Caenorhabditis elegans: one gene and its partners. The protein of the gene in region 1 interacts with the protein of each later gene in a pairwise test. Each region holds a gene or a part of one and is shown on either strand. Other genes may lie near its edges.

Region 1 (3,757 bases):
GGTGGGGAGGGACACATAAGGTAGGGGGGACCGCCTGTTTGAAAGGGGGGACTCAATGCAACAATAAACGTATTATGATTCATTAAGTTTCAAAACCAAGTAACATTATGGCAAGTATATTGAGGTAATGTAAATAGTGTCTCTCTCATAGACAGCTTATCAGCAAGAGAAAATGGAATTTGTTCTAAGACAGGCTGAAAGTGGTGGGAATCTGTGTTTCAAACTTTTTTTTGATACTTTTTTGGCCAAAAAAGTAAAGCAGAACATCTTTATCATACCTTAGTTTTGTAACAACCAAATTCGAAACTAAAACTTGAAAAACAAGCATTCCCACTATCGCTTTTACGATATCAACCATCTATTTGAACAAAAACAAAATAAGATACTATCATATTAAAGTTTGTTACTTTTGATACTGGGAATGAGCAAAAAAAGAGTTTCAGTTTTTTTGGGCGTGGATCCTAACTGTAGTATTTCAGTCAAAAAACAAGAAGAGCTTGCTTTAGTAACGCTACTGTACCGTACCATTACAATAAACTAGCCAGTATTGCGTAAGTACCCTGGATATGCCGAGATGGAGCCCACAATCAATGTCGCCTGCTCAATTAACAATTTTGAAAATTTAGGAAATTTCATAAATTTTAAAATATATAACTTCCACTTCGCGATTTTTCATGCACAGCCGCAATTCATTGAATAGGTATTCCCCTATTCACCCATTAATATTTTAAAATTAAAAAAATCATATCTTAGCTAGAACATAAAAATATATCTAAAAATTAATTCCAGATGTTTCTCCACTGCACATGAAAAAAAACAAGCAAACAGTTAATTTTCAAAACAAAAAAAAACATTTTAAATGTAAAAATTGTAGCTAGCTCCAGGCTCCAGTCATATGACGAATGAGGTAATCGTTGTTCGTTAAAAAGTATAAAATCACCTTCATTATCGGGCCTCTCATGGGTATTTAGATCATTGAATTGCGGTTTCAAAAAGTAAAAGTACAAGTCCGGGTCACCCACCACTTTTAATGGAATGTGGATATGCTCAAATACAGTGCTCATTGTAATGGGATGGCGTGGAGGATGATTTACCCTGTGTAACAGAAAAATAGTAAAAATGTTTAACACCGGATGTTTCAGAAAAAATCCCATTTCAAATAATTTTGCAGAGCATTTTTTTGAATTCTGTGTAATTCTTCACAACAAACGTACTGGAAAAAAATCTGGAAATTTTTGAATTTAGTTGGGTAAACAATTTTAGAAGCTGATTTTTTTTTCAAAAAAAAAGCTTCCATGCAAATTACCGGGCCTCGCAAGAACTTAAAAAAACTCTTATGAAAAACATTTTTTTGCTAGTTCAAAATGCTCTTCCGAAACTAATTTTTCTGCAGTCATCTATTTTAATAATCATATTGTTTGTCCCTAGTAAGGCTTACGATACCACAATACTTTTTGGATTTTTCTCTGCAATTTTTCCAGTATAAATGATATTTTTGATCATTGAAATGCCTTAACTTTTCAAAAAAAAAATCATTAATTTATTTTAAAAATATTCAAAAACACGCGAGAAGCCAACAGATCCAAGCTGGCGGAAAACTAGTTGCGTGTCAGAAATTATCGTGTCGCGTCGGGTCGCCCATCTTTATTCATCGATTACCTGAAAAATGTGTGACGACGATGATTTCGAATTCTCTACTCAACCCGAGTTCGGATCAACCAGTGAGATGAAAAACGAAGAGATGCTGGTTCCAAGTGATCCAAATTTCGAGATAGACGGGAGACGCGTTCAGGAGAATATGTATGATGTGAGTTGGGATGTGAAATTTTGAGACAATTTTTTTGGAAACAATTCTTCCAAAAATTGAAATAGTCTTGTTAGTCTCGGAAATACTTTTTTGGCTCGAAAAAAATCTTCAATTTAGTTTGAAAACTTCAAATGCACCTACATTGCTGTCTGAGATACGAAAAATGCCATTTTGGCTCCAATTAGCAATTCGAAAATAACAAATAAATATTACAGCAAGCATCGGAACTCAGCTATACTTACCTGGATACTCCATCTGAACATATCTGGACACCAATTGTACCTCTAAATGCCACCACGGTGCCGGTTACCTGTGGATATGTCAAAGGAATTATGCATCTCAAATTGTTCAGGTGCCCCGGAATTCGTCAGGCTTGCATCGAATATGAATGTATGGTGGCTTTTATAATGTGAGAGAATGAATTTATTCTGGAATTTCAGCACAGTATCTGACTCCGAAACAATTTACGGAACTTGGTGGAAAAGGGCGACAGAAAGACTGGAAGGCGTGTATTCGTGTGGAGAATGTTAGCTTGAGGTGAGTGCAGAAAGATCAATAAATTGTATGCTTTGGTTTAGGCTCAGGCGTATGCTTAGGCTTAGGCCTCGGTTTTAGGTTATGTGCTAGGCTTAGGTTTGGGCTTAATCGTAACCTTTTGCTTGGGACTGCTAGCCACGTTTAATTCTTAACGTTCCAGTTTTAATTCATTAAATTTCAGAACACTATTGGAGAACAAAACCATCGATTTCTATAATCACAAGAGTATCTGTCATGGACAGTGCCAAAGTCGCAACTACATGAACTCAACGGGCAGAGCTCCAGTTAACAAACGTCACCTCGAAGATGTTCTAGCTTCCGGAGATGATGCATCTGAGCCAACGGAGCAAAGTAGTGGACAAATTAGTGAAGAGCCAAGTAATATTTTAAAAATCATGGTGCATTTAATTTTAAGGAAATCCTATTTTTTCAGTCAAGAAAAGAGGTCGTGGGCGTCCAGCAGGCAAGAAAAACAAGGCAAAGCTGGAAATCAACTTTGTTGAATCAGAAGATCAGCTTGTTTTTGAAGAGTTCTTCCAGCCAGCTTTCTCAACAAGATCCCCAGCTCCAGAAAGACCTGTGTGCAGCCCAGCTCAGGATATTTACAGTTGTCTGCAAAATGGTAAGGAGTTTTTGCATATTTTCGAGTTTCACTGCCTCTACCTATCAAATAAACTTCCAAATGATTCCAGATCCAATGAGTTTCTGGTCTCAAATCAAGCGAAGCGGCTTCATTTCTCAATTCTGTGATGACATAATTGCCGGTGCTATCAATCTGAAACAATCTGCAATGACTCAATCCTTGAATCAAAATAGTGCATTTGTTCTGACTCGTGCCACATTTGCTCTTGGTATCCAGAAGCCGATTGTGAATCGAGTGCAATCGATCGAGAGAAATGTGAATGAACAGAAGAAGCAAAATGAAATGATGGAGGACCAGGGAAAATATCAAGAAGATGCTCAAACTGAAGCTGACGACTTGGATAATCAACCTAGATGCAGTTATCTTTTGGAGGATCTTTAATAGATTTTAATAATAATTATTTTTTGTTCTGTACTGTTCGTACCAGTACTAGTATTTAAATAAAAGATTTTTTCAAGTTTTAAGTGCTTTCAGAATTTAATCACAAAATTGTTCTATTTCCCAGAAGCTTCCAGTTCAATAAAAAAACTGACCTACAGGCATATAAATAACCACATTTTTTATTGGGTGATCTTGATAATTTTTAAAAATTAAAAATTAATATACGACTTGACAGACAAAAAATAGATTGACAGACGAAAAATAGATTGACAGACGAAAAAATAGATTGACAGACGAAAAAATAGATTGACAGACGAAAAATAGATTGACAGACGAAAAATAGATTGACAGACGAAAAATAGATTGACAGACGAAAAATAGATTGACAG
Region 2 (3,757 bases), on another chromosome or scaffold:
TGAAACAGCTGTTTTCTTTTTTTTCTTGGAAAAATGCCTGTGTAGATGGAAGAACATGGTGCAATAGAAACAAATTTATGAATTGTTCAAAAATTCGTCATTTTGAAGAAAGTACATCGACAGATGCACAAAATTTCGCAGAGAGTCTTTTATGCTTTAACAGTTCCAGCTGTCGTTTTGATGAATTTTCCATAAAGTACAAAGTTAGGGTGAAGTTTATTTGTGAAACGGGAATGCAATTCGTGAACTCATAAAGATTGTGCATGTTACTGAAACGTCTCTTCGTAATAGAAACCGGGGAAAAGGCATAAGTTGCATCATTAAGAGATGTTAGCTAGGGAAAGATGTGCACGAAGGTGTATTGTTATGTCCGAGTGTACAAGTGGAGGACGAAATATTGGTGATCTAGAATTCCGTTAGTAATTTAGATGCCTTACTAGTTACACAGTTCACGCAATAGCCGGCGAGCGTTAATTGTTGAAGTTATGTGCTATATTATGTGCCATTTTTGGAGATATTAATAATATTCACTCTTATTAGAGTATCCTCCCGTCCTATATATTTCATCTCCCAAGTTGTGTATGCGCAAGCGATGTGCACCAATTTTTAAAGGTGGTTGTAAACCGGCAGACCTCTTTCCAGACGGTGTCTTGTTGTGCGCATTCGCCTCTTCTCCTCCCCTTTGCAGACTGTTCATTTCTCGATCACAGTTGTCTCGTTTTTCATCTCCAACAATTGCGGACCACTGCATTGCCTCCTCTTCTCTCTCAGTCCGCACTTTTTTGGATCGATATTTTGTTTTTCATTGTGCATATCTCTAGTTTGTTGAGTTTTCTCTGTGTGATTCTTTGCAACTCTGTAAACATTATTATCTTACTCTTCTCACTACACGTCATCGCTTCCCAACATCTCGTCACTTCTCCTCACCCAAGAGGTGTCAATTCACACCTTAACATGATGGTGAAGTGAGCTCGAGTGGATAGTACTTCATCTCGAGCCCTCCTTCTGTTGCTTTATCTTACCGTCTCCTCTTCCCTAGTTTTTTCCTGTGAGAAAGGCACGCAACCATGCAACACATTGTGTATGGAATATCTAATTGCAAATTGCGCAAGAATTGCCTAGAACAACGCAATCATTTTCTCGGGGGAGAACGCAGTAATCTTGTTCGCTCAAACTATCTTCGTTTATTTTTGTGCGTGATTGTGGACTTGGCTGATCAATTTTTGCATCCATGATTTCTACCAAAAACTTTTAAAAAAAAAATGCACACATGTGTAGTAGCGGCTTAACATGTGAAGGACTATACTAGGTAGTTATAAATTGTATCACATCTTCTCAACCTAGTTGAATTTGTTGGAAACTTCATAATGCTTTTGGAAATTGTTCTATTCAGATCACTTTTGAATTTTAATTTAAGAAGTTGAACACGTTTCTTACTTTCCGGTACTAAAATATCAATTAAAAGGTAAAATTTTACTCTAAAACCATGTGTGAAGCTCACCTCATGCCACCCGTTTTTTTAATCGAAATGTGCTTGCTTGTCGAGCAATCTCCCAGTGGTGCACTCCTCCTCAGCTCCGCCTATCCTCCTCGTCTCTCCCCATCCTCTCACCCACAGGCAGGCATTCAGCGCAGATTAATACACGATACCAGCCTTCCTTATTGCTAGTTAATAGTTCCCTGCTTTAAAAACTAATTGTTGATTTCTAGATTCTAGCTTTCCATGTTCTCTTCATCAAATTGTTATCACGTTTTTCTCGAACTGCTGTTCTTTTCCTTTGTCAGCAGATTTTCCATTTCTTTCTTTTACCTTTCAGATAATTCTCTTACCAATTCTCTGTCTCTTCCCACTGTGAAAGTTGTCCGTTACTGCATTACTCAATAATTTTAATTTTCAGATGAGTTTCGAAACAAAACCTAACTATCTGTTACTGACAAATCCTGACACACCGCTTTCTGTATGCACATCTCCATACTACAGCCCTTCTGGAAAAACAGCTTCAATTCCATCATCAGAGGCAAGCAAACCAGAAGGAACAAATGGTCAATGGTCACATCTTCCGACTGGAGCTGTAAGTTTTTGTCGTCATCATTTTCATATTTTGTTCTGATTTACAAAGTTAATGCGTAGTTTCAAAATAGAAATCCAGGAATTAAACTGAAAACTAAATCTTCTCAATTTGCAGACGTACGTGACGGATGAATTCTCGTCAGAATTCCAAATCCAAAACGGATCGACAGCAGCTCAAAGTGGTAACGCCAACAACTACGCTGACCCTCTCTCACACCGTCGCTACTTCAATAACGTCAATGGGTACAATCACCATCAGTTCTATGATACGGCGTCACAAGCCAGCGTGAGCTCGCCGGCAACAAGTGGTAAGTTAGGGAGTCTATTTCTATCAAAATCTATCAGTAGGTGGGGCATATCATCAAGTGTGTGGTGACAAGTGGCAGCAACATCTACAGCAACACAGATTTTTTTCCTCACCTAAGAACATGTGTCTGAGAAGTGTTGCAAGTTTCCGAGTTTCTCTCGCCTTTTTTCTTTATTTCTCCCATTTAATTGATAGAAGAATGAGAGCAGAGAAAATGAAAAAGTCTAATAGACTTTGCAATCATTCTTCATCTCTTCCCTCTCTGGATCATATTTAGCTCGATAGGGACCAGATCAGTTGTGCTCTGTTCCACGTATCTTCCTGTATTCTAAGATGGCCTACTTTTGTACAACGAAAGTGAAGGCAAGCGGCTATGACGTGGTTGCGTAATAATCTCCAGGTTTCGTCATTTCTTTGGACGTCCGCTGCCAGACCACAGTGATGTATGGGTACGGTAATAAAAGAATGCCGATGGGTGAAAGAAGAGGAGAAGACGAAGTGTAATAAAGGAGGAGAACGTAGAGAACGGTGAAAGAGTGCGATGTAGGCGTGGTAAAAAGACTGTGAGAGTGAGAGAGACAATGAGAACGCATATGCCACAAATCTTGAAGATGTGGCTAAGAGCTTACTGAGTCGCGGAGAGAACGGGACCAAGGAAAACTAGGTAAATACTATCACGTCATCATTGAGAAGGAAACAAATATGGTGTGCACAGTGTACTTCAATAAATTTCACTGGTATACATAGCATGTTAAATCTGTAATCTGCCAAGTTGAGTTAAATTTGTATATTTCTGATGTGTAAATAAGTTTAGAAAAAGAATAAAACAGAAGAATTCGAAGAATCGAAGAAATGTTGTATGACCATATCACCCACTTGAAAATTGACTCTTCTAAAATTTCTTAGATAATTTTACATTTACAGTAACTTCATCGTTGTCTCCTCCTGATTCCTTATCAAATGGTCATACCACTCAACGTCATCACATTGGGAAGGCGATCTCATTTTGCAAAGTATGCGGAGACAAAGCAAGTGGATACCATTACGGAGTGACGTCATGCGAAGGATGCAAGGTAGGCATGAATGGTCCTAAAATGATCACTAATCACGTGGTTCTATTGAATTTAATGAAACCCTTCTCCACTCATAAATCCCCTTCTTGTTCTATTTACGAAACCTATATTTATGACCGTCTTATTTGATTTTTTGTTTTCCCTTATGTTAGACCAAGAGCGAGAGAATGAGCACTTCCCCAACACAAATTGCGCAATTATTTGGAGACTGTGTATTGCTATGTGCATTAAGGACTCTCTTTTCCCATTGTGCGAGTGTCTTGGATGCATACTAACATAAGAGGAACAAGCCTTACTCGGCAAATA
Region 3 (3,757 bases), on another chromosome or scaffold:
ATATTGTATCGTTTTCAAGATAAGCTGACTAATGAGGTCCTATTATATGTAATAGATTATCATATCTAGAAACAAGATAATTCTGGAAAAGATTTTTGATTATTCTTAGATAGTCTTGTTTTTTATGTACTTATCTGCGAAAACTAGAAATATTTTTAACGACTATTATACTAAAGTTATTATATATATTTTTTAAGGGATTCTTAGAATTCACCTATTTTCATAATACAAATTATAGAGGATATAAAAAATACCTATATAATAGATTGTAGTTATTGTATTTTCTCACTTCCGTTGTCTCAAAAAATGGAACCTCTTCTAATTATCCTTTTCGTTATTTATTGTACAGTTTTTGTAATTGGGACTACTGGAAATTTGATTATGGTCCTGGTGACATATTATTGCAAGTAAGTACATCAACAATTTAAATTTAAAAAAAACAAATTTCAGAAATCTCCGGTCAATTTGCAACGTCCTTATTGGTTTGTGTTGCTTTTACGATCTATTACTTGCTGTTCAATTTTAAAAACCAGATTCCAAAAATCGAATGAAAATTGTTTACGACTCATCTTGCACTTTTAAACACGCAAAAATGTAGAGTGTCAGACAAAAAGATACATTGCCACTAAATTTGTATGTCTATGTAAATATATATGTGTATATATAAATATATTTCAGAACATATGTACATACTTGTTTACTCACATCTGAATTCTCTTCGAGATCTTCTAATATTTTTATTAGTTTTTTTTGTCAAAACTCAAAATCCTGACGGTTACAATTTTTACAAAGAATTAGGTTGCTGGAGTTGCCTCAGTTAAAACCATACTGCGAGTTTTACCAGTCGAACACACCTTTCCATTATCTCAATATATCAAACATTAATCAATCATAAAACTGATATGGTCCCGCCGCAGTTGAAAAAAAGGAGACCGCCCGTCCAAACAATATTCTCAAGTACGTTTACATACCTAGTCGGCACTTTTAACAGTAATCACTGCTTCCTCCTCTTCCGCACCCACTTACTGGATTGTTCGCACCCGTAAAATCATAACTTCCCGACTGTAGCAAGGCGAGGCGGTAGGGAAGAGGGTACTAAAATTGGAGGTGGGAGGGGGGGGACGTTTGGATAAACACAGCATTGGGGTATCATTTTAGAGTACTGTAAGTGATACTGTTTGTGGATATGTATAGTTTTTTTTTTCAATCTAGCGTCTACATTTCCCTTCTGTTTTTAGTCCCGCACGTCATTTTCAGATTTAAAACCAAATCTTGGTTGTGACTTGACTGTCCGCAAATCCGGCAAATAGGCAAAATGCCGGTTTGCCTATTTGTCGGAATTTTCATTTTCGGCAAGTTGCCGGTTTGCCAATTTGATGGATATCAGATTTGCCAAAAATGTTTAGAGGGATTTTTTTTATAAGACGGAAACACTTAAAACTGTGCCTTTTTGAATTTTTTTCCGTTTTTTTTTTTGAAATTTTCATAGAATTTTCATAGAAATAGAATTTCTGATTTGCCGGCAATTTGCCCATTTGCCGGAAAAATCGTTTGCCACCCACCCGTGATGTACTGTACTATTGATCAAAACCGGCATAACTTTGGAGCACTACAAAGCCTTGTGTTCTTTCTATAAAATTTCTGAACTTTGAAAACAAAATTATTTATCACATGTCCTTTTCCCAAAAAACTCCCTTCCTTCTTCTATTAATGACACCCATCTCCCCTCCACACATTTTCCGCGCACACACCTTTCTGCCACCCCTTTCTCAGAGAAACAACAAACCTCCCCGTTTTTTGGTTACTGTTTGCCCATGCCTATCAGTTTTGACATGCTATCATAAAATGGCACTTGCAGGGCATATGTGCGCCTTCTTGGATAATTTTCTTCTAGCTTGACCATCGTCTTCTTGACATGTTTATTTTTTTTCGAAATGCCCAAAAGTGTCGTAATCTTTAGATCAAACATATCATGACCACCATCTACACATGCTCAAGTTTTCTGTATTTTCTATTCTTGGGGGGAAAGAAAAGTTTGCTCAAGTTTTCTGTTTGTTATCATAGGAGTGACCGGTCTGGTGTCACCACACCCCTTTTTTGGAGCCTGGGGAGCTCACTTTTTTGTAGACCAGAAGAGGTGTGTATATTCGCTTAGGATGTTTATTTTTGTGGAAACATTAGTCATTTTTCTTTAGTTTCACGATAGATGCTCTACTAATGAAGGCACGTATTGTAATCTAGCATTAACATTGTTTTGTTCTTTGTGGTGAGTACATAGGTATTTTGTTTTTAGTGAGTTAGTTCCTACGTGTTCAGTGCATTGAGAGTTAGAGCCTTATAGTTAGTAGTTAGTTCCCAGAATTTCGAACTTGAAAGTTCTTAAAAATGGAGCAGCGCCATTGGGGAAAATGCTAAAAACAACTCCTATGGTGTCAAAAATGACCGAATATCAAAATAAAACTTTCAAAAAAATTTTGAAATTTTTCTATTTACTGTCAAAAACTGACAAGTGCTCATTCTTTGCCACTCATAATTTTAGAAGTCGGAAAAAAATTTCTTGCATTTTTTATATTTTCATTTTGTTTTAATTATTTGTTTTAAAAAATTATAGGGGTCGGAACATGCGACACTGCATTGAATTTCCTCAAAGGCTCATATTTTTCAATATTTTGGCAATGTGCCAAAACTTTGACCTGGAATTATGAGAAACCTAAAATTTTTAGGAGTGTTGCATCATGATATTTTGTCGCTTTGGTTTAATATAAGTGAGACAAAATTCTCACAGGCGCTACTCCACCTTTAACTTTCTTATCTCTTGAATATTTCGGTTTGAGTGTGAATTCTCTAAATATCAAAAAGATCCAAAAATTTTGCTACTAATTCCCCCTATTTGTATATACACTTGTGATATGACGTAAAAACATATTCACAAGAACTACAACTTTCGCTTTGAAAATTCACAACAAATATCGAAAAGTAAGCAGTAGGCAAAGAAGAACGCAAGACTTTTATGACTTGAAATGTATTGAACGAGAATGAAGACGTCACATTTGTGCGTGTGTGTATGCACAACGGTATTACATGGTGTTGTTGTAGTGTTGGAATATTTGTACTATCTACTAGTAGAAGTTGCCTTACTTTGGCTTATGGTTAAGATTTTCACTACAAATTTAGAACTATGCATACAATTAGGTTCAGGCATTACATCTTTTTTTAACCACAAAATGAATTAGTATTTGCCTATGCTAATTTTTATTTGACCTTCTGTTACAATGTAATTTTTGAAAATTCGTTTCAGAGTCTCACTCTTTTTTGGTGATTTTCAATTTATCGTTATTCATCTACAACTCCTTCCAGATGTACTCTAGCATAGTCCCGTCTAGTTCAAATGGTTACTATCATCAGTCTCAATACCAAAATGCCCATCACCAACATCATCAGCAGCATTATCACCAACAATCTCATCATCATTATAATGGAGCAGCTGCGGCTCCAGTCATCAATGTTCACAACTATCATTTTCATACGGGACCTGTTAATAATCAGGTTTTGTATTTAATTGAAGTTTTTAAATTCAATTTTCTATTTTTTGAGGTCATCGAGCAGCACTACAATCATCATAACCATGTCCAACAAACTTTCGAAGAAAATATTCCACAAGGCCCGCACAGTTCTTTCAATTTTTCCCATGACTTTCCACAACAGAATAATTCCGAAACTCACCTCAATCACATGGAACCTTCGATGACTCCAATGG

Evidence for each region.
Region 2: the proteins of gmeb-3 (region 1) and sex-1 interact in a two-hybrid assay, tested with the Caenorhabditis elegans proteins (one large-scale study listed by BioGRID).
Region 3: the proteins of gmeb-3 (region 1) and klf-2 interact in a two-hybrid assay, tested with the Caenorhabditis elegans proteins (one large-scale study listed by BioGRID).

What each region holds. Positions count from the first base shown.
Region 1 is NC_003281.10:3,766,882-3,770,638, forward strand, and holds gmeb-3 (SAND domain-containing protein), read left to right. Parts: upstream 1-1,618; 5' UTR 1,619-1,666; coding exon 1,667-1,807; intron 1,808-2,022; coding exon 2,023-2,197; intron 2,198-2,247; coding exon 2,248-2,344; intron 2,345-2,525; coding exon 2,526-2,722; intron 2,723-2,777; coding exon 2,778-2,966; intron 2,967-3,036; coding exon 3,037-3,368; 3' UTR 3,369-3,447; downstream 3,448-3,757.
Region 2 is NC_003284.9:10,203,563-10,207,319, reverse strand, and holds the start of sex-1 (Steroid hormone receptor family member cnr14), read left to right. Parts: upstream 1-1,898; coding exon 1,899-2,072; intron 2,073-2,186; coding exon 2,187-2,379; intron 2,380-3,302; coding exon 3,303-3,451; intron 3,452-3,757. UniProt on the Caenorhabditis elegans protein: Transcriptional regulator which is involved in the sex determination and X chromosome dosage compensation pathways.
Region 3 is NC_003283.11:20,683,551-20,687,307, forward strand, and holds the start of klf-2 (Kruppel-like factor 2), read left to right. Parts: upstream 1-2,132; 5' UTR 2,133-2,148; intron 2,149-2,179; 5' UTR 2,180-2,266; intron 2,267-3,357; coding exon 3,358-3,546; intron 3,547-3,594; coding exon 3,595-3,757. UniProt on the Caenorhabditis elegans protein: Probable transcription factor which regulates lipid metabolism.